Nothobranchius furzeri: one gene and its partner. The protein of the gene in region 2 purifies or fractionates together with the protein of the main gene of each other region. This does not show direct contact. Links are inferred from orthologs where the notes say so. Each region holds a gene or a part of one and is shown on either strand. Other genes may lie near its edges. The genes, in order: larp1 and nfx1.

What was found.
Region 1: the proteins of nfx1 (region 2) and larp1 purify together in Homo sapiens (affinity purification with mass spectrometry, with the first as the bait; 3 studies listed by BioGRID). This does not show direct contact. The link is inferred for Nothobranchius furzeri from reciprocal best matches to the Homo sapiens genes NFX1 and LARP1.

The regions. Positions count from the first base shown.
Region 1 is NC_091750.1:54,239,830-54,251,216, reverse strand, and holds the end of larp1 (la-related protein 1), read right to left. Parts: intron 10,610-11,387; coding exon 10,475-10,609; intron 10,316-10,474; coding exon 10,163-10,315; intron 8,044-10,162; coding exon 7,881-8,043; intron 7,140-7,880; coding exon 6,995-7,139; intron 6,914-6,994; coding exon 6,739-6,913; intron 6,668-6,738; coding exon 6,501-6,667; intron 6,413-6,500; coding exon 6,317-6,412; intron 6,197-6,316; coding exon 5,870-6,196; intron 5,111-5,869; coding exon 4,987-5,110; intron 4,602-4,986; coding exon 4,396-4,601; intron 4,318-4,395; coding exon 4,211-4,317; intron 4,121-4,210; coding exon 3,963-4,120; intron 3,881-3,962; coding exon 3,736-3,880; intron 3,660-3,735; coding exon 3,550-3,659; intron 3,449-3,549; coding exon 3,321-3,448; intron 3,249-3,320; coding exon 3,045-3,248; 3' UTR 2,815-3,044; downstream 1-2,814. UniProt on the Homo sapiens protein: RNA-binding protein that regulates the translation of specific target mRNA species downstream of the mTORC1 complex, in function of growth signals and nutrient availability.
Region 2 is NC_091747.1:45,564,290-45,576,414, reverse strand, and holds the start of nfx1 (transcriptional repressor NF-X1), read left to right. Parts: upstream 1-6,236; 5' UTR 6,237-6,435; coding exon 6,436-6,454; intron 6,455-8,931; coding exon 8,932-9,846; intron 9,847-10,129; coding exon 10,130-10,291; intron 10,292-10,389; coding exon 10,390-10,467; intron 10,468-10,599; coding exon 10,600-10,705; intron 10,706-11,337; coding exon 11,338-11,409; intron 11,410-11,491; coding exon 11,492-11,631; intron 11,632-11,713; coding exon 11,714-11,813; intron 11,814-11,889; coding exon 11,890-12,107; intron 12,108-12,125. Other genes in the region: asap1b (arf-GAP with SH3 domain, ANK repeat and PH domain-containing protein 1), read right to left, coding at 3,054-3,179. UniProt on the Homo sapiens protein: Binds to the X-box motif of MHC class II genes and represses their expression. May play an important role in regulating the duration of an inflammatory response by limiting the period in which MHC class II molecules are induced by interferon-gamma.

The DNA of each region.
Region 1 (11,387 bases), on a different chromosome or scaffold from region 2:
ACTTTTAACTGTTAAATTTAGGATTTTTATTTTTTTTTTTCAAATAAATGCTCTTCTTAAGACTTTCCATCACTTCGACTACCAGCTTCCTGCACCAAAACCAAACCTCCAAATGCTGCCAAAGACTTAAACTAAACATCTGAACTTCTAATGTAATTAATCTGACATTTTCTTATGTATGATGGGATTTCTAGAACTACCATGACTTTTAAACTAATTTTATCTACCGGTACTTTATTTCCATTTTGAATTTCAGTGTTAAACCTGGATTCATTCCTAAACGGATTTCCTAACGACACTTAAAAGCACCACGATGTAGCTCCAAGAGTTGCACTTTATTGTTGTGGCACTTAAACTTCTCTAATGTTAAATGTGAACTTTTATACAATTTACTAAACTATTGGTTATGAAGCCGTCTGTAATAAATAAAAGTTTTTCTGTGTGTGTTTGTGTGTGTGTTTTTAGTGTTCAGTCACATGAGAAATGATTCCACAGCATCTGGTGTTTAAGGTTTTTTGTCAGTTTTTGTGTTTTTTTTTCTTTATTAAAGGAAAAGCATAATTACTACAAATTACAAATGACACTAATAGCGAATCACGTCAGCCTACAAAGCAGATATTATGAATATTAAATGTTATAATACAAGGTCTCATTCAAGTATTTTACATTTTTCCCATTTTATATATTTTTTTGCTCCTTTTATCCATTTAATCTTTTTTTTTTCCTCATGACAAGCCTAGGATCATGTTCTGAACTTTAATGGTTCATACAGTTGTTGCTTAATCATATGGCTTTATGGAAATCTGTCCTATTATTCTCAGTCTCCAGACATCAGAACCTGTCACTCTTTTCCTTCCCACTTTTCCATGTCTTTCTCTGATCTTCCCATCTTCAGTCTGCTCCTGTAAAACTGATGATCCGAGTAGGCAGCGCCCCCTAGAGTTTGTGAGGGCAGCTAGCAGCACTTTGATGCTGTAAACCCCCCAATAAGTTGTTCACAAACAGGTGATGATCACATTAAAGGGAGGTGACAGGGTGGTGGTGGGGGGGGGGGGGGGGAATAACGGTCCATCACATCCAATCACTCAAAGGCTTCTGGGGAAAAAAGTGTGTTTTTGTTGTGGCTCATATGCTTCAGCCTGGTAAACACTGCAGCAGCTGGAAGTCTAACAGATTCAAACCTCCCTGAAGATGTGACGTGAAGCTGAAGCATGTGGGGAACAGCTCCAATTAGCTTTTTATTTTACATCCAACAACGCTGGATTTGAAGGGAACAAACGGAAAAACACTGACAGGAAAACGTGACGTACACCGTAGGTACCGACAGGCTGAATCATCACTACAGCTAGACTTGAAGAATCAAAAACAGGCACAGTTTCGTCTAAATATACCAGGTTTCAATGATGTCACTGCAGCTAAAAGAAACAAGCAACAAAACAACTGGTTCATTTCTGTGTGAGCTAAGACTTTTCAAATCTCAAAAAAAAAAGAAAATAAAAGTAAGATTTTCTTTCAAACCTACGAAACATATGAAACAAAACTGATGGTTCAGTAATTAGTTAGCCAGGTTTTTGTTGGAAATCAGACTCCCAGTTTGACAACGGTGCAAAATAGTCGTCAGATTCTACAGGAGTCATCCCGACTTCACCCAGGTGAAGACGTTCCCTTTTGTGTGATCACACGGCTTTGATTTTTGAAATCCAGATGTTTTTTTTGAGCCACATCTCCAGAGTAAACTCTAGGCTCTAGAAACACAGCAAATGGAAGTTAAAAAGCAATAAGAGTTAAAAATAGAACACACATATAGGCAAAGATGTGTGTTCTGTAAGGGCTAAAACAAAGCAGGGGATCGTTCCTCTTCATCAGTCTAATTCACAGTTTCGCCAGTGGAAAGGGAATCTGTTGGATATCATCAGGTCTCGAGCTGGATCAGGGTTTCCATCAGAGGAAAACAAAAACACGAAGCCGCTGCTGCAACTGTATCTGACTGCACTCCTTAGTGTTCACACCTGTAACCGATGTGAGAAACAGGAAGCAACAAGGTCCAATACCAGCGTCTGTTCTCCTCACAATCATCTAGTAGTCCAGAGTGAGGATTTCAGTCCTGCAGCGGTGTTGATGCTCGACTGATGGATGGATGGATAAACAGATGAATGCAACATGTCTGACAGATGTGGGAAGAGAAGCACCCAAAAGGAAGTCGTCGTCAAGTCCCACTTCCTTTTTTTATTTTATTTTGAAGGGTCGTAGAGGAACGGTGATGAACTTCCATCAGCTTTCAGCACACAAAGCTACAAGTCGTCACAATAACAGATCAAAGGACACGTGGAAGACAGTTCACAGACAAAGATGAAAGGAAGCGGAGGACAATTTGGCAGACAAAACGCCACCCAGTGGCCTCAGGTGGAAACCGATGAGACAAATGGTGATTTTGATGCTGTTCAATCGACAGAACGGTGGCGGGCACAAGTTGGAAGCAGTAAAACCATCAAAATAAGGCAACTTTCAATAATCTGTCCAAAGTGAGGGGTTGAAACAAGTCACTTATTCTTTCATAGTTCCCCCTCGGTATCCAGCCATAAAGGAAATCAAATATTTCTCTGTTTGAGCCCCGGGTCTGGAGAGGTCGGTCGCCCAGTTGAAACCACTTTGGTCCGGCTGAACGTCGGGAGCAGCTCAGCTTCCAGATCAGTCCGGTTCAACCACCTCCTGCTAAAGAATTCTGAAACACGACGTCTGAGGAGGAATCCAAATCTTTCAGCCAGCAGGAGATCAGAGAGCGAGGGGGAGGGAGGGGGAGTCGACTTAGCAGGAAATAAAAGTCTCGGACCGCTCAAGATGTGTTTTTTTTATTCCCTCACGATTTATTTGTCTAATTAAGGTTCTAAATTACTCCAAAGGATCTAATAAAACTTGAGAAGGTGGCTTTTGTTTTCATCAGATGCAGAGCTGGAGGCTCCTCCCCCTCCGGTGGCGCAGAAAGAACCGGTGATTTGAAGACGTGGTGCAGTCGATCCAAATGGGCCAGCGCATCGGTGCAGCAGTTATTTCAGAGCTTTGGCGTCCGGTGTGGGATCAGCGCTGTGGGCGGGGGCTTTCTGGGAGGGGGGTTTGGCAACATCCTTAGAGGCAGGGGCGGAGCCTCCGCTCGCCTGGCTGTGAGGTCGGCTGGAGGACTGGGAGGGATGGCGACGGCGACCGTCCCCACTGGACGCGTGTCTTTTCCGGCCTCCTTCCTCCATCGGTGGCTGGAAACAACAATAATTATCAGTATCAGAATTTATTTCACCTTTAATCTGGATTAAAACAAAAACTCTTACATCTATTCTGAAATCCTCCAGTCGTTTAAACTTGCTCAGGTGCTCCTGGAGTTTCGGGTCGATCTCCAAAGTCTTGGCTTTGGAGTATTTGAGGAAAGCCCAGAACTTCTCCAGTCCATAAAGCTGACCTGAGATCAGCAGACACAAACACAGTTTTATATACTTTCACCAACAAACGCTCGTTTAGGAGGCCTAAACTGTCAGAATGATCCGCTTCATGTTTCCTCACCGGCTTCGTAGTCTTTGACGGTTTCCTCCTGGAAGTCCTTAAAGATGTCTGGTCTGAACTTCTTCTCCAGACCGTAGCTGTAGTACCTGAACAAGCACTCTAAACCGTACCTGTCGCCCACAAACACACGAGGAATCAATTTCAATCAGAATTTAGAAACACAAGTTCTCAAAGCCGTCACCTCACCTGTAACCTTCTTTCCCGTCCTCCACCACCAGCTGTCTGAACTCCTCGTACATCTTCCTGTTGAAGTGATCCCGCAAGAAAAACGACCAGAAGCGGAAGAGCGTGTTCATCTCCTGCGATTGGCCGATTCCAAGCCGCTTCCGCTCTGTGATTGGTGGAGAGCAGAGATGGGGTTACTCACAATGAAGGATTACTCCTGTAGAATAAACCGTGAGGAGGCGACGTACCGTTGAGGCAGCGCCGCCGGTACTTGTGGTAAACGTGTTGCGTGAAGCCGTTTTCCTTGAGCAGCTCGTGCGACGGGTGCTGGAACTTGGGGAGGGACTGGGGGGTGCAGCCGATGTTGCTAAGGGCGGGGGTGCCCTCTGACGGGCTGGCGTTAGAGCTGGGAGGGAGGCACAAGGAGCAAGAGTTCAGTTAGATCCGAGACTGGGAGGAAAACATCAGCGGCAGCATCAGCACATGGACGTCCCACCTGACGGAGGCGGTGCGGGAGCGATGTTCTCTCGAGTCCATCACCCAGCCAACATGACACTCCAGCGGCGGGTTTGAGCTGTGCCGGGTCTTCCTCTTTCTGGGCGTCTGAAACAAACCCAACAAGCGTTTATCGTTCCTGTCAGTCTATAAGACCTCTCGCTTTACCAAACCGCTTCCCCTCACCTTGGCGTCAACCGGACGACTTTCCTTCACCACCGGGTAGAAGCGTGGCGTCATGGTTGGGTCTTTTCGGTGAGGGGTGCGAGGCGTGCGGGGCGTCCGGGCACTGCGGTAGTTGGGTGACTCGGGCACTGTGGTGGGGAGCGAGCGGGCTGTAGACGAGGGTTCGGGGGCTCCAAAGAGTTTGTTGGCTAGAGCGTCTGTAGGAACTGAAGACGACGCAGAAGGAAAAGTCAGGAGTTAAATCTCTAAAACCGCCGGCTCATTCTATTACAACCGTCTGAGTTTCACATTTCAACGTGTTTAGAGACGGAAAACAAATGAAACAATCCCGTTTTTATCCACTAGATCATAATAGACTCAACTCAGCCATCTGACCTCAGAAAAGAAACATTCCAAGTTTTTACTCACCTTCATAAAGGAAAACCATCGACTCTAAAACAGTCTGACTAATCGTTTCTTCTTGCCCAACAGTAGTTGGGTTGTCTTTATTAATATCAACATTTGAAGTTTAATCTTTTCCATGTTGCACCATCAGGTAGATGAAGCTGGATTAAAGCGGCTTTAGGTTTACACAAACACGCGTGTCCTTACTCTGTTGGGGCCGCGGCGGCCCGGGGGGGACCTCCTGGTTGGGGTCAACGGGAGGTTCTGGTGTCAGACAGTCGAACTCCTCACGGCTGATCAGGTGGACCTTCTTGAAGTTCTCCACCTCTTGCTGTAAAAAGAAATTTGAGAAAAGTTATTGTGATTTTCATCAGAGCAAACTGCTGGGATTGTCGGTAACTAGAACAGAAACTAACGTAGAACTGGTTTAAACCAGAAAAGCTTTCGCATGAACACTGTGAAATGATCAGACCTCATCTGCAGCAGTCTGGAGACCGAGACGCAGCAGCAAAGCACAGCAGCCAGAAACACCCTCTTCACCTTCATATCTGACACGAACTGTTCCCACACACACACACACACACACACACACACACACACGCACACAGCTTCTACTTCTACTCAGAAACCCACAGACACACACAGCCCTTTATCTAAAGCTCAGGGTAAGGACAGCTCCCAGGTGGTTTCTCTCCCTGATCCTGATCAGATGTGACTCACAGCGACGGGTAAACTCCGAGTCTCTTCCATTTTCTTCCTCCTCGACCCGGCGGCTCCGATCCCCAGGCCGAGACCTTCCATGTGGGGTTTATTTATAAACAAACTGCCTTTGTTCCGCGCAGCGCTGGATGAGTGCCGGTGAACACGTGAAGGTACCACAATGCAACAAAAAGGCAGCGAGGACAACAAAACTAAACAAAAACTACTTTGTGTTTCCATTCCACATCCAGAAACAGCTCCAGCTGCCACTGAATGCATCTCCTCGTCCTCCAGTTTCGTGCAGAAATGTCTCCAAAACGTGAGACAGAAACCGCCAGAGCATGCCCAGCACCTGCTGTTCTGGTGATGTCATCAAAGAGTGCAACCTCACCTTGATGGTGGCGTACTCGGGCTCGAAGTTGTCTTCCCACAGGTCCTGCTCGTAGTAGAAGAGCCCGTCGTTGATGACTTTGGCCAGCTCGCTGGTCAGCTTGGCGCGCGATGTGTGCTGACCGGTGCGGTCGCCCCCCGGATGTTTTCTCAGGTAGGGCGGCGTCTGCGTCACAATCAGGATCTTGTTGATGTCGTTGTCGTCCAGCTCACCGTCCGTCTCCTCGTCCGACCAGTCGGTGAAGGTGTTGCGGCGTCCGTCTATCTGCTCCATCTCCTCATCGAACATGAAGTCCAGCTCCTCGGGTTCGTCCTGCTCTGCTCCGTCCTAATCAGACAACATAACACCACATCATCGTACAATCAGTAGACATGCATCTGTAAACAAAAATAACAAAACGCCTCAAACCGTTGGATCAGAAGAGGGGAAAATGATTTCCTCACTCACCTTATTTCCTGAGACGACAGGGGATGGAGAGGAGCCGGGCCGAGGAACCAGAGACCGAAGAGATTCGTCCTTTTCTTTCTGCTGCAACACAGGGACCTGATGTGAGTCGCACAATAACGGTGGAGGTGAACCAAACACAACAAGATAATCTTCTGCTAAGTTTTCAAAGGTTTTCGGAGCTCACCTTCGGTCTGGCTGGAGAGGGTCTGGGCCTCTTCTTCACCTCGATCCAGGACTCGGAGTCCAGATCAGGGAGACTGGCGGAGAGGCCCTTGGGCATGGTCTTGAGGTTGGAGATATCTGGTTCAGTCTTGGTCAGTTGTTGAACTGGCGTGGAGGCTCTGGGAGACCCTGGAGAAGAGACGAAACCCCAGGTTGGTTTGATGTTTTAGAAACATGAAATCCCAACGAACCTTCCTCACCTCTGCGCTCTTCAGACATCTGTCTGGGAACAAACTCGGGGCAGTTGATGAGCTGGGAGAAGTCGGTGTGCGTGTGGTTGGGCATCATCAGACCAGGAAGAGGCCACTTCTCTGGGTCTTCCTTCCGCCGGATCTTCATGTCGATGATTTCCACCTCTTTGCTGCCCTTTAAAGCCTGGCAGCAGATAATCAATGTTCAGCTTCCAAACGCGTTTCTTTTTACTGTTCTATAAAAACAAACTCCAGCTCCGCTAACCTCGATGATGAGGTTGACGTCTGTAGTGAGCGCCTGAACTCTGTGGAAACTGGCGATGAGTCCGATGGGCAGGAAGCCCTCCTGATCCATCTTCCTCCGCAGGAAAAAGTCCCGCTCCAGATTGTCCAGACTGAAATAATACTCTCTACAGGGGTGAGAAGCGGGGTATTCAGAGGGAATTTGATGCACAATGAAACAAAACGAGGAATTTGTGGATGAATTTAGAATTTATCACATTAGAAACCAGGACAAGATCAGGTTTCAGCTCCAGATAAGACTAGTTTTACTTAAAGAGCAAGTCACCCCCTAGCAGCCACTCCCATTTCCTGTTTGAAAAATGCGCCACAGGGAGTTGTTTCCGGGCAGATCCAGATGGCAGAGCTGCTAACAAATAAACACACACAGGCTCAGTGGCACTGTGCCCTCATATGGTACCAGGAAACATCATAGGGTACCTCTTAGCCAATAGCAATGGCCGATTTAAATTAAAATGTAGTGCGGAGTATTTTACCTGAAGAGGGCGCAACACTGACAGTTTTAGGTAGAATATTTTCATTTTAACTAAGATGCATTAAAGTGCCAAATTATTGACTACCCATGTTTACAGCACGATTAGACACTCATTTATATCGTTGAACAGCAAAAAACTGATCTGGGGTGACTTGCTCTTTAAGGGGATCTGCCACAGCTGGTTTGAATGCTTTAATGTATTTTTTATTTAAATAGAATTTTGGGGCACCATCAAAATAAAATCGTACCCACAGATTATATCGTGTGCATATTTGGTCAAAGTGGAGCAGGAGTTTATCAACTATGATCTCTCTGCATTGACTACCCATCAGAGATGAGACATGAAAGCTCATCACCTCTGAAGTTACAAACTCACATCTGCCTCTTGATGTAGTCCTTCAGCAGGTCCTGGTCCACGGTGTACAGATCGCTGCTGCTCATGTTGTCATAGTAGTAGGTGACGGAGCTGTTGAACTTCTGGCTGTACGGTCCGTCCTTCACGTCGTAGGACTTGTAGCCGAAGTGGTAGTCGTAATGACCTTCAGAGGAAACGGACAGAGCGCCAAGATCAAATCCACTTCTGCAGCTTCAAAATCCTGTTAAACAGCGTCCTTTCTTTAAATTTTATCATGGAAGAACTCATTATTTACAGCAACATTTCAGAAGTTATAGAATCGAAAGAGCCTGATTGCTTAAGAAGTAAAGCTTTTATACTCACTGGCGAAAGATAAATGTTAAAATAGTTTCTTCTGTGCAGCATCAAACTCAACAGCACTTTGTCTAATTTATTCTGTTATTCTGCTCTGCTCACGTGGGCAGCCACGGCGAGACCTGGAGAGGTGTGGTTGGGAGGAATGGCCCCCCTGACGTCTGGCAGTCTCCAGTCAGAAGGAGCCTCTTCCAACTGAAGTGTGAACTGATGGAATGCAGCTCGGGTGGTCGCGGAAGCAAAAACTCCAAAAAACAAGCATAAGCATGGGAGGAGTTTGGTGAGATTACAGAGAAAGACTTTCATACGGCTTTGAGGAGATTCTGGTCCACTATCCGGCATCTAAAGGGGTGAAGCAGTGTGCTACCAACACTTTTTATAGTAGGGATGGTATGCTGCTGACCTCGACTAGAGACGCTGTGGTGGGCGGAGCACTTGGAAGACCTCCTTAATCCCACTGGCATATCTTCCAGTGGAAGAAGCAGACTCTGGAGACTTTGGGTTGGATTCTCTAATCTCTGATGCTGAGGTCTCTGAGGTGGTGAAAAGGCTCCTCTGTGGCAAGGCCCCAGGGGTGGAGAAGATCTGCCTCGAGTTCCTTAAGGCTCTGGATGTTGCAAGGCTGTGTTGGTTAACGCAGCTCTGTAACATCGCGTGGACAACGGCGGCAGTCCCACTGGACTGGCAGACCAGGGTGGTGGTTCCCTGACTTAAAAAGGGGGACCACAGGATGTGTTCCACCCACAGGGAGATCACACTCCTGAGCCTCCCTGGTAAGGTCTATTCAGGACTTCTGGAGAGGAGGGTCTGTCGGGTTGTCAAACCTCAGGTTCAGGAGGAAAAATGTGGTGTATTATCCCTCATGAAGTTATTTACACCAGAAGACAGTGGAGATGTGCAACTTCAATCTGACCAACAATTCTGGGTGTTTCTATTGACATTTTTTGAGTTTATTGAGTTTGAAGACTGCCACGCGTAAACACGCTTCACACACATGATCCAAAGCTCATTTCATCGTGTTCAGGACACGGTGGGTGTAGAAGGGATGGCGCAAACTCCGCTTGTAGAGACAGACGAAGCAGGAATGTAAAAGAAGAAAGGCAGATGTGAAGCTGAAAGTAAAAGTGAGTCACATAATTGATGTGAAAATTCCAGCGATCGTAATAAAACAGCAATACTAAAAAGGGGAAAAACTGTACTTTTGAAATCCGGATGAATGTGAGATTTAATAAAGCAAAGAGCAAGTTGCCACATGAGGGCTTCCCTAGTAAAAACATTAAAATGTGTAAAGATATATTAAGGATTGTGCCGAACTGAGCAGGAAATCTGAGCATTAACTCTAAAAACCTGCTCAGCCTGAAATCTGGACCAGCAATGGTTGAAGAAAACAAAAAACAAAAATCAAAAATCTAGAATTAAAAACTGTGTTGAGTTGTCTGGACTCCCCCCTTATCTTGTTTAAAGTTAAAAACACACTCATACCGAGCTGGGTAACAGGAAGCAGAGAAGAAAACGTGAATGAACAAGGAGTGATGGGAAGAGAGGGAAAGTGTGAATCCGAGGAAGCTGAAGCCAAAACAAACCAGACTTCAGGGAAAAGCTGCTTGTCCTGTCGGCTCCAAGGCCTTTTCCTCATTCCAACACTCTCTGGATGTTATTACACTGTTTTTCCTGTTTTCCCTGCAGCCTCAGTGGAGCCGGATCAGGGCCACAAACCAGCCAAAACCAGAACAGCAGCAGCAGGAATCACAACATCCAGAGTTTAACTGCAATTTGGTCCAGAACTGAACTAAAATCTGAAAACTGGCCGCACCCCTCAGAAAAATAACGTTTCAAATCCTCTGGACAAAAACAGAATGATGCATCAGAGAGAAATGTTCCACTTTAAAGGAAGAAGGGAAATAAAGCTCGGGTTTCCGTCTCGGCAGAAGAGAAAGTTTTAATTCTACCATGTCCTCCGCCTCGTCCTCGACCTCGTCCCCTTCCTCTCCCGCGTCCACGACCTCTGAACCCTCCACGGAAAGGTGCCCCCTCGCTCTTTACGCTGGACACTTCGTCGTGGTCGTCTCGCCACTCCCGCTCGTACTTCTGGCTGTGCCAGTCTATAAAGGACAGATTTGCATTAATAAAAAAGGAAGTAGAGCATCAGCCATGATGCTGCTCAGCTGTTTATCAAACCACACCCTTCACTTAATCATCACAGCAGACCAAAGACGCTGCCCGACAGCAACTAGCGGTGTTAGGGGATGACCCGGACTGACCTCTGAGGTCGTTCCTGGCGTTGGGGGGCAGGCGGGGGTGTTCGTTCTGTCTGCTGTTGTTCCTGGAGGCCGAGCGCTCTCTGGGGCCCTCAGAATTCACCTCGATCATCAGAGGAACCCACTTCTGCTTGTTTCCTGTTTTAAGACAAACACAAGTGTGACAGAATGAAACATTTTTACAGGTTTGTCTTTTCTGCTGTAATCTAATGAAACATTTATAGAACTAAACTACTTTTATTCTCGTGTTTGTGAATGGTTTCAATCTGAAAACTACCTTCATGGTTTAGTAACTTTCTGCACTGGTTGCAGTTCAACTGAAACGCCATGAAATGATGAGAATACATTAAAACACCATTTTTCTGTTAACTCAACAAAAGGCCTTTTTTAACAGAAGCCTTTACTGTGAAAGTGTGTGATGGAGGAAGTGAGTTTTAACAAAGTCAGACTGATTTTATCATTAAGGCTTTTGTTAGTCTCTGATCTACAGAAAGGTTTTTATTCTTAATAAATAAAACTGAACTAAAGTATAAAATTAGAGTTATTTTAGAGCCAATAAGCTCACATTTCATTTATTAGCAGCAGGAAACAAGACTGATCAGAGTTCTGGGGTTTCATGTTCAGCTCTCGGCGAGTCGGGTGGATTTCAGCTTCTGTTCTGGTTAGGGCTGTAGCGAAGCCTCGACGAAGTCGACGGCTCGATTCTAAAAATTTGTCAACGTCAGATCCGGAAGTCGACGCACCGCGCCCACTTGTTGCATCCTCAGGAGTTTGTAAATAGAGGAGGAATCTGCCCGTTTTTCCTCTAGTTCGCCCTCTTCTCCGCCTTCACTAACATCTCCGCCAAATACCGAAGACCCGGAACAATGTCCGTCTACTACTAGATTATTTTCCTGTTTTGCCCCTTCGTCTCCCG
Region 2 (12,125 bases):
ATGTTATTTATCGTGATATTTATCAAATATGGTTATATATTGAGAAAAATATATATTTAATTATAAAAGAGAATTAAAATAATAAACACTCAAAAGTATCGAAAATTGGTACCGTTAAGTACCGGTATCGACTCGTAGGTACCGGGAATTAGTACCGGATCGATTCAAATGTCAAAGGTACCCATCCCTAGTTTAAAGGTAAGATGATCTTGGAGAAAGCCATTCAGAAAACAGACATGTTGAAAAAAAAACATTCAAAAGGTCCAATCCCCTTTCTTCAAGCTCCTCCCTAAGCCACGCCCCCAGAACACGGAGAATGCCAGAATTGTCAAAAAAACAAAACGAGGTTATCTCACCTCTTCTGCCATACTTCCTATTTTAACGCACTTACATCACAGCCACGGAACCTCAAGGATTTTGGCGGACTCCTCTGAGTCCGGTGCCGGTCAAGAGTTCTTCGGACTCTGTTCCTTCCCACTGAAGATTTAAGAGAGAAAACCCACTGGGACTAGATCCAGTAGAGAGGACTGGGCTTATTACACTGAAAACCCACTTTGCTATTTCCACACAGGCTGAAGCCTCTTTTATAAGACACACCATGCCGGTAAATGGGCGTAATATTACCGCAATGGCATGTCTATAAAAGCGCCATGCCGGCATGGCGCTGCGCGAATTTTGCGGCATTCGTTCCGCCTCGCTTGGTAGTAATATTGCGGTAATGGTCTGTCGTATGCGCCCTGGCGCAACAGAGGCAGATGTCATGATGACATGGGGAGTTATTGCTGAGCTCCGGCTGGCAAATTTATTGAAAATGAAAGTAAACACAGGCAATAAGGTTTGCTTTTTGAACAAAATCAGCTGAGATGGCAAACTGGAGCGCCGCAGCGCTCCATGACCCTCTCTGTTAGAGCTGAAGCTCAGATCACCAGAGACTGCACAGGGACTGATGGGGACAGACACCTTTAGGAGCTGCTTGTTAAAAAAACTTAACGATCACGGCTTCAATCACAATAAAAAGCAAGTTATGTCCAAGATAAGATGAAGAAGAAGAAAATATAATTTCTTTAGCGCCTCTCAAGATAAAAATCACGAGGCGCTTCACAAAAACTAAAAATGTAAAAATATAAAAAAGAATTTAGAAAATTGTTAAAAATATATTTAAAATGAGCAAAAAACAGACAATTGTGATTAAAAAAAATGTTAAGAAAGAGAGAGAGTGAACAGGAAAGAGGGAAATCAGTGGATCCTGAGGAAGGTGGAATAGGTGGGGAGAGCAGAATAAAGAGAGAGTGGTGAAGAAGGTCGTACAAAAGCCACTTTGAACAAGGGAGTTTTCAGCTGCTTTTTAGAGGAGACCACTGATCTCAGGCTCAGGGGGAAATGGAAGCCTGCGGCAGCGCAGAGACCGCCCCCATACCCCCTTTATGCCACCATCACCTAATCTTTTCTAAAATTGCCACGATTGCACCACATTACCGCCACGGTCTGATCTTATGAACAACCTTTATCCTCCCCAGGGAGCCGCGGCAAATCCCGTTTTGCAAACGCTATGGTCCTGTAAAAACAGCTTATGTAACTGTATAACAACTTAGCATGCTAGCAAATATTGCTAGCCCGCCTCTGGATTTGCTTCCTGTTCAGATGCTTCAAGCCAAAAACGTACAATTTTTGCACACAGAGGGGCATGCCCTTTGAGTCATACGGTAGTTTGATGAATGAATCAAGATCCAATCACTTAGAATGGGACGTTCACAATGGTTGGATTAGGTTTTTCCAGGATTGACTAAACTTCAGAGGTGAATAAAATTATTATTAAAATTTTATTTACTTTTTTCTTACATAACATTTTTTAATACAACATTTAATTCATTGGTATGTGAAAAGCATTTTAGGCAATACGGCAAAAAAAGCTTCAGAGAAAAATCTTTTACACTACTTTTAAGAATCTCGGCCTAACCATTAGCTTATCAGTCATGAAGAGTCAGGAGGTTGTGAATGCACGAATGCTGGGAAGCTTTAAAAAAAGTGAAATTTTCACCCATTCCTGAACATTTCATCACTTAGTGCCAATTTACATTAGCAATACCATCGCTTCCAGGGGGCAGTTTTACTTTCAGAGAAATGTTTCTAATTAATCCAAACTAAAAATAATAATAAGAATCGTACAAGAATCAGAAATTGGTATCGACACTCAAGTCAAGAATAGATGCATCCCTATTAAAACTAGCTCAAACGTCCCTTTTAAATGCAGATATTTAGATTGTAGCAGCATAAATGGATGTCACGTTTAACGCTCCTGCTTTACAGAACAGATTACACTAAAAGCTGTGATCCTGATGTAATTCATGCCTGATTCAAAGTGTGAAATAAGTTCACATTTTGGATTCAGCAGTGAACGAAGGTGTGCTCCCTCCTGGTTTGATGCTCCATTTAATCATGGCAGGAGGGATGCCATCATCAGCAGGAGCCGGGACACACTCACACAAACACAAACCCACCTCTCTGACCCGATTACATCTCATCCTGTGTGATTTTTAAACGTTTCTTTAATCTGTTTCACCTGACAAATGACTCTGAAGCAGTTGAAGCCACATCTGACAGCAGCCAGTGACTAAAATAGGTCTTTCTGTCACACAAACACAGCTGCAACCCTGCCAGAATACTTGAAAGTTATGTAATAGTGAACACAGAGAGCTGCAGGCCTAAGTGCACATCCTTCTATTCCCTGCACTCTTCCAACAAAGCTATCCTCCTCCTCCATTATTACTCCATATCTAAAAAGATTTCTTCGGATGAGGGCCTCTCAATCAGTCTCAATGAATGTGAATAATTTTGCATCATAAGAAAATGCACAGTTGCAGCAACAGGTGCAGTTTTTGTGCAACAAAAAACTCAATTTAGATCCTTGAGTGGATGATAAAATGACCATCAGGTCGTTTTAACAGACTGTCATTGCAACCTGGTGTGTTTCATTGGATATTACTAAAAAAGCAATGCTGTTCATAAAGGGGAATGTGAGTTTTTGCTGTTAAATAACCTTTCAATGGCCTTACCTCCTCCAGCACGTTCACTGTATTCCTGCAGCTCTGCATGCGGGTGGTGAAGCTGGATGTTGTCGGGGAATTGTAATCCTCTGTCGTCTCCGAGAGAAACTCGGACACCGATATTTGATCCGGCATCCTTTACTGGGAAAGGGGGGAAATGCCCACAGGAAGGCTCGGCGATGTAGGCTCAGAAAGACAAAACCATGCAAGAGTCACAAAACAAGCCAGAAAGCTGCAGGGGGGATCTGACGGTCGCGGCTCGAAGGAAAGCACCGATTTTTCCTCGCAGAGCTGAACTGTGTAAAACTATCAGGGATGATTAAGACGTGTCTCCTTCTGCCGAGGCTTCTCAAATGACTTCACTGTTCTCCGTGGATGACTTTGTGTTAAATGTCTAAACTAAGGGTGCGTTCACCCTCGGCGAGCGGCTTCCTTGAGAGGAGGTCTAAGACCGACACATTTATATTTAGTGTCACCCCGCGTCTAACTAAACCTCGGAGGAAAAACCGCCGTGAAGAATAGCGGATGCCTTCATTATGATCTACAGATGTGCAACAACCCGCTCGACGTTGAGAAACAGCGCACCGTTACCGGCCCGAGGGTGGGTTTTATCATAGTCCAGGGTGTGCCGTGGTCGTCTGGAACTGCTCCGTGGTTTGGTCCTCTCTTCTTTAGCCGTAGTTTGTGTTTTAGCTAAATGGTGCCGCAGACACATTCACTGACGATCTCTTCTGCTCGGCCGCGTTCGGAGCTGTGCAGGGGCTAAGAGTTAAGCTAGCAGTACGAGGAAGCACTACTTCCGGTTTAGATTTTCAAAATATGTTCAATACGTAAAAATTGAACTACTGCTCATTCAATTCAGACACTATAGCTTTATAAAAACATTTACATTTACGAATGGTTGAAGCCATATAAATAAACTTGAATTGAATTGAAATGACAAAAATATCTGACTCCATTGTACAGGAAAACACATTATCACTAGTCACGTTTAAAAATCAAATGCTCAGTTATGAATAAATACGTGAATATATAATATATCAGGAACACAACTGTCACCAAGTTTTCACATGAATTACTTCGTTTTGAAAAGCAAATCATTTAGTTTCCGGTATTTGGTATCGCTTTACTCATTTCTTACCCACCCACCTCGCATCGTTCACGGGGTCTGCGCATGCGCCATGGATCTTCTGAGGGCTGAGTGATGCGTAGCTGTAGGGCTGTTATAGAAAACGATGTGCGAAAAATAAACACGTAACTTCTGACACTGTTACTTTTAGCGGTCTGTTAGGGATCGATGGCACTTAAGGGATTTATCCGATGATCAGAAACCCATCTAATTAATGGCAGCTAGCTGTAGCTGCCTGTAGGAGCGTGGAGCGTCATTTTCTCCTGCGTTAATGACTAAAATCTGCTTTACCACAACATATGTTAGTGTTTTTGCCTATAATTTGTAAAACGGTGTCTTATCAAAATAAATTAAGCACCAGCTTTGTCTTCGTGTGGTATTTAGCTAAATAACCCACTTATTTAGGTCAAATATGTGGTTTTCATAATGAATATCAAAGTCTTTAATTATATTTTGGGGTCTCTAAATTAAAAGTTTATATATTCTTTCCCGGCTCTCATGTAAAGCCGAATCCATTTGTTCATTTAGGTTTATTCTAGATTTTTATTAACTCATTAAAACAGTTGCTATGAAAGATATATCTCACCATCACCCACTTTCACTTTTCTTTCAAACTACAAGATTGCATCCAAAAGTAAATGTGATTTATAGACCAAAATAAAATAATATATTGTGGTTTTCTGTATGCCTCAAAAGTCTCAATGATCATGGAGTGTGACAATCAATTTTAACGCGTAATCAATCATTGTATTGTACATATAACCTTTTGATTAATTGCTAGTGTCTGATATCAGAAATAATAATGACATTTACCCTGCTGATTTTTCCACACACCTTCAAATAAAAAGTCTCATTCTGTATATCTAAAATTTCAACTAACAAGAATTTCTGTTAAACATGTTTATTGTTTTTCTAATTTTTATGTCCAGAAGGGACATCTGTCATATCTGAATATTTGGGGTAAATTAAAAGAATAGTAATAAAATGTCAATTGAGGATGCTTTCTTTGAGAAACCAATATATGGCAAATTGGCTTGCCATAAAGCACTGTTACGCTGATGGACAAACTCAAACATGAAGCGCCATCCTGTGGGCAGACTTATTCTTTTTCCTCCCTTAAATTAAGGATTTTATTCACAGGAAAAAAATCCAGCAAAAAATAAAAAAAATACGTAATGGGAAAAAAAATATTTTTTTTTTCTATGACCATTTAATTTGAGCAACATATTCAACAATTTTACTATGTTAATTGTGTTACTTTAGGCTCAGTATTCAATAAGCATGACCTTTGACACCTCTTTGACATTTCTTTCTTTCTTTTTCACATTTTTACTGGAGAAAACCACTGAGAAAAAATATAACTTGGTCTTAAATGAAAGGTGAATGGTGAGCATCACTGGATTGTAAAGCATGTTCAAATGTAATTGATCAAAAACAATCAGCAAAAAAAAGGTTTGATGATGCCATAACGGCTCTTTTAGGTTCACAGAATATGCAGCTAACATCAGTCATTTTAAATCTAAAAATCTCAAAAAATCTTTAGTGTACATACGTACATTTTATTACTATGTGGTTTTTAATGGAAACACAAATCAAATGGAAGCTAATACAGTGACTGCACGGGTCTCTTAGAGTCCCTGGCAAAAATTTCCAAGGGGGACTTGGAATTAGGTTTCATCAAATACAACACTGACTAAACTTTTTTGTTATGCAAGTGCATAAAAGCCTTTTTTTATGTAAATATTTACTATGTGCATTTTAACATTATAACTGTGAAGGCTGCTGAAGAAAATAAAGGAACTAATTATTTTACATTAGGCAATCTTTATTTCAAACTTGAACTGGTCCTTACAAATGACTTTCCTGTTATCAAACTACGTCTTTGAGCAACTATAAATGGTTTTTCAGGTTTTGTTTATGTATAAATATTGCTTGTAAAAGTAAATCATTTTGTGTGCAGGTTGTTTGATTTACGCTTGATTTAAGCAGTTTAATATTTTACGTCCTTTCATTTTGCTAGTAATTTTATTTTGAAAATCCTAAGCGGAAGTTCCGGTCGGGAATCGGTGCTAGCCTTTCAGCCGGAGAGTTTAGCCAACGCAGGTGGGAATAATATTGTTTTAACGTGGATTATTCCTAGTTTGAACCATCAAGGCGCAGGTGAGGAGGTGGACACTGTCTCCGATCGCCTGGTTGAACTTGTCATCGCTCCAAAAAACAACCTGCCGTTGGTGAACTTTGGAAAAGTGGAGTTCTAAGTGAATGGCTGAAGGCTCCTCTGGTAACCAACGTACTTTTTAAATAATTATATGATAAATGAATTGGCATTTATAATAGCTACCTTGTGAGTTTATTTTTAAAAATACTTGATAAATCATGTTAGCTTGATTGTAACATAGTCTCGCGCTAGTTGTGTTAGCGTGTTTCGTTAGCGAGAACTTTTGAAGTAAAGATAAATGTTTTAAAAATGCTTGTCGAGGTGACTCTTGAATTGTTCTTTATCAGACACGACAACACGTGACTGAGAACTTTGAAACCGATAACACAGCTGATCTGGTTACTGTAACAGGAGCTGAAACATGTGACTTGCTAGCTCCAGAGCTAACCGCTATTTCCAAAGTTAGGATTAAATCCACATTAACTTTAGTGTAAATGACATTTATTCCGATTCTAAACTTCTCCAGATACTAATGACTTCATTTAATAACATCTTGTTCTGTTTTTTTCCTTGTCATTGGTTTGGATTTTCTGAATTGAATTTGGAGCATGGATATTAGTTGTGTATCTACGAAACTAACAAATTAAATCGTTCTCGTGTATTTTTCAGTTAAATAAGTTGCCAGATTTTTGTTTAATTTAAAAAATGATTTAGTTGAGTGGCTTTAGAGTAAGTACAACTTTATTAATATAGCACTTTTCACAGATAAAATCACAAAGTGCTTCACATCAACAGGTTGAGCGGGTTGTCCAGTAATCGGAAGGTTGCCGGTTCAATCCCGGCTCCGGGATTGCTGTTGTGTCCTTGGGCAAGACACTTAACCCACCTTGCCTGCTGGTGGTGGTCAGAGGGACCGGTGGCGCCTGTGCTCGTCAGCCTCGCCTCTGTCAGTGCGCCCCAGGGCAGCTGTGGCTACATGTAGCTCATCCCCACCAGTGTGTGAATGTGTGTGTGAATGGATGAATGATACACTGTAGTGTAAAGCGCTTTGGAGTCCTTACTCTGAGCAGCGCTATACAAGTGCGGGTCATTTATCATTTAACATACATAAGAAGGCAAAACAGGACAGGAGCACAATGTCAACTTACATAAAAGCTTGTCAAATAAAAGTGTCTTCAGCTGCTTTTTGAAAGAATCAACAGAGTCGGCCACACGAAGAAACAAGGGCAAGGCAGGCGTTCCAAAGTCTGGGAGCTACAGCTTGAAAGGACAGGTCCCCTCTAGTTTTAAATCTGGTCTTAGGGACCTTCAGTAGGTTTTGACCCAAGGACCGTAGAGTGCGGCCAGAAGAGTGAGGGATTAAAAGGTCTGATAAATATTGTGGAGCTCGTCCATTAAGAGCTCTAGAAGTCAAAACTAAAATCTTAAAATCAATTCTAAACTTGACCGGTAGCCAATGTCAAGAAGATAAAACCGGTGTTATGTGAGCCCTTCTATTGGTTCCTGTTAAAAGCCTTGCTGCAGCGTTCTGGACCAAGACGACTGACATCTGATTTCTTAAAACAAGTAAAGATAGAATAATTGCAATAATCTAAACAAGAGGAAATAAAAGCATGGACAATCAGCTTTAGAGTTCTGTGGAATTTAGACCTTTATTTTGTAATTATTCAGGCATTGTAAAGGCTCCAAAATGCAGAGTGAACCAGTACCTTTGATTGACAACTTGTCAAAAACGCTTTAAGAATAGATCCTAACCTGTCCACAAATACTACAGTTTGTTTCCACCACGTCCTTTATTGAATCTGTTTACTCATTTATTCAGTACATTTGCATTGTTTTCTAGTGTTAAGCAATGCCTTATGAGTCATAAAAAGTTATAATGTTCCAGTTCTGGGATGCAGAAGTTTGCTGTTGCAGAGGTGGGCTGAAAACAGCAGGATTACTCATTATTGTAAATGATATGCACACCTCCTCGATAGCAGAATGCGTGCAGTCACTAGCATAAAGAGATGCTCTCCGCTCTCTCTGAGAAAAAAAAGCCTCCCTGTGGGCGGGTGTGAGCCAAGATGGTCAAAGCCATAAATGCAAATTCACAGTGTGACATAGATCTGTGAGGATTTTCAAATCCTAGCCTTTCAGTCTTTTTTTTTTATTATCAGAAGCTAACACAGGACACTGTTTTCATGTTCAGCCTGCATGAAAAACTCAGAGTGGCCGATTATAATCAGAAATTATCATTAAAAATTGTTTATTTTTTTTAGTGTTTTACTTCTTTAATCTTCCATCTTTACTTTCCTCACTTTCAAAGCACACCGGTACAGTCATGTTCAAGGACTGGATGTCACAAAAGCCACTGAGATTCAGATAAAAACTGTAAAAGATGTGAAAAATCCCAGAGAAGTGCTGATTTAGATTTTGTTTAAAAGATTGCATGTGCTGAAAATCTCAGCTTTGATAAAAGCCGCTGTTATTTAAAATTTCTTTCATTGTTCTTTTAAGTCCAGTAACTGTTAAAAGTGATAGGTTTAAGTGCTGTAACTTTACTGTGATTGGTTGTTTTTACTGGTCAGTAGTGTACGGTTGTACTGTTTCTGTTACAGATCCACCTGACCTCAGCTCTGATGGGCCGTCACACCAGCACAGACCTAGAAGAGGCCGACCCAGACACAACGGCGATCGAAACCTGAGCAGTAATAGCCATGATCCGTCTTACCAATATGGGCATTTTCAGCAGTGCGTTAAACCACCGATTGGTTCTAATCATTTTAATTATTCAGAGTATAACCATCCTCCGTATCAAGGAGAGGATGTTGCTAGGAAGAGAGGCAGAGGAAGAGGAAGGAGAGAAGGAAACAGAGGGTTAAACAGGAATTTGGCAGGTTCAGGCCCTCGGGGGCAAAAACACATTGGTGACTTTGGCCAGTATGATGCAAGTCATAGATACACAGGTGGCTACCAGTCAGATCCCATGGATGGGCCTGATGCTCCCAACTGGAGAAGAGGTGGTGCAAATAGAGATTTTGAGCAAACTAACAAGGAGCGGGATGCTCCAGCTCAAAATTCCAGTAAAAGGGAGCTTAAGAGGGGCGAACGGATGGAGGAAAGGGATCATACAAGGGAGAACAACACAACCGTACCAGGCTACAGGTTTCAAAGTATCCGAGGAGAAAACTATTTTTCTGAGACCAACAGGAGAACTCCACAGAGCAAATCAGGCACTCAGACTCAACATTACGACCATCAGAAGAAACACGACGACCCAAAGAGACGGCACGGACCAATCAAACCCCCTAAAGCACCGTCTCCAGAAGAGGTGAGTTTAGAGAGGGGTGCTGGTGGTCAGCATGACCCAGACTTCAGCAGATCTTCTCAGGATCCCGTCTGTAAGCCTGGAAGAGGCTCGGGACCTCAAAGACCTTATCAGAGCCACGGAGGGAGGAGAACTAACCGTCAGAACAGCAAGTCGGGTCAGAGCAGCTCAGAGAAGATGCCCAAGAGCAAAGAAACGCAGACAGGTTAGAGGTCATCTTCACTAATGGAGAAAGCAAAGAATAAATCACGTTTTCATCTCTTATTTTCTATTCTTTTAGATTTTTCAAAAATCCAATAAATCAGGAAGTTTTACTTTGTTCTAATGTGTAAAATACAAACCTTTCATTTCATTTATTCTGTCAAAAACCTAAACCTGTATCAAAGCATGCATTTCAGTCCAAGATAGCTTAGTTTCTTTAATCTGTTTCAGAACGAGTTGTTTGTTTTACAGCGATCTGTTCTCAACCTCTGGCCTCTCCTCCGCAGGATGTCTGATTGAACAGCTGTCGGAGGAGAAGTACGAGTGCATGGTGTGCTGCGACGTGATTCGGGTTATGGCCCCGGTGTGGAGCTGCCACAGCTGCTTCCACGTCTTCCATCTGAACTGCATCAAGAAATGGGCTCGATCCCCAGCCTCTCAGGCAGACGGTACGGCTGTTGGACCCTGTGTGGACGTTTTATTTTCTACTTGTTGGTCAGACTTATGATTAATCTACATTCGAAGTTAAAATGAATCCGTTTTTCAGACTCGGCTGAAGGTTGGCGTTGTCCCGCCTGTCAGAACGTTACTCTGAAACACCCGACCACCTACACCTGCTTCTGTGGTGAGTGTTTGATTTCTTCACCCACAAGCACATCTCACATTTCCCTTCAACACATCATCTTGTAGTTGGGTCACGGGCCTAAATTGTCACATCTTCCTTTGTCCTTCTTTTCATCCAATTCTGGACTGGCAGGTAAAGTGACGAACCCTGAGTGGCAGCGCAGTGAGATTCCCCACAGCTGTGGTGACATGTGTGGGAAGAAGAGGAGCGGTGTGGACTGCAACCACCCCTGTAACATGTGAGCTGTGAAAAAAAACAAGATTTGTGAGCTGATACGATTCATCTCGCAGAACTGTAGTTGAAAAGGACATCTTTAGCATTTTTTTGTGCAGCCATGTGGGTCTCCACTGCCTCTATAAACCCTTCATTTATTAAAAAAATGCCCATCCGTTTTCTGGCAGCGTTGGGTTTAGGAATTATGGGACTAAAACAAGCCGTTTAGAAAAATCCTTGTTTGTGACATCACAAATGGGTGTTTTTATTTATTTGTTTTTTTAAGAATAGAATCACCTTTCATACATAAGAGCTGCTGCTGGAGGAGCAGCAGCAGCTCTACTCTGAGCTCCTCCCAGATATTGGAGCTTCTCAGCTTATAGCAGCCTGAGCAGGGGAGGGGTGGGCGTGGCCAGCTCCAGTTTGTTCTCTTAAAGTGACAATACCCTGAAACAACTCATTCTGGAAGGTACTGAAAAAGAGTTTCAGATCTGCAGGTGCACACCTGGGTGGTGAAATGGATACGTGTCTCATTTGGATAGTTTTTTTGTTGTTGTTGTTGTTGTTTGGCTCAATGTTTAGTTAGGAAACATTCTAATGTGAGACCAGAATAATCATTAGATTTCTGATTTCATGGAGACTTTTCTGTCTCTCTAGTTTGTGTCATCCTGGTCCTTGTCCTCAGTGTCCCGCATTCATCACCAAGTCCTGCGTCTGTGGGAAGACAAGGTAATCTTCCGTCCTGTTTTTATCTTTAACAATGGTCTTGTTTATTTGACACATTAGGTAACGATTGGATCATTATTTTCAGTCAGCCGATGCGCTGCGGCCAGGCTTCGGCGCTCCAGTGTGACAAAGTGTGTGGAGCTTTACTCAACTGTGGTGAACACACCTGTGTGCAGGTGTGCCACAGCGGGACGTGTCAGCCCTGTCAGCTGAAGGTCCAGCAGGGTTTGTCTCACTGGCTCAAAGATGTTGTTTCATGAAAGTAAACCATTTAGATTTCTGATCTGTTGATTTTCCGTGTGTGTAGTTTGTTACTGTGGCGTTACTCTTCGCACCGCCGCCTGCGGCACAGATAAGGAAGGATTTGGCGGTTCTGGACATTTCTCCTGTCAAAAGTTTTGCTCCAAGTGAGTGACGACGCAACAGAACAGACTTTTGTTGAAACGGGACGATTCCTTTCATACTTTCCTTTCGTCTGTTCAGGATGCTGAGCTGTGAAGCTCACCGGTGCCAGCAGGTGTGTCACCGTGGGCCGTGCCAGCCATGTCCACGCTCACCCAGCCTGGTGAAGACGTGTCCCTGTGGTCAGACCCCGCTGTCCAAACTCCTGGATCTGGGCTACTCTGAGCGGAACAGCTGTTCCGACCCCATCCCCTCTTGTGGGAAGACGTGTAACAAGCCCTTACCCTGTGGCTCCAATGGTGAGGAGAACTGTCATC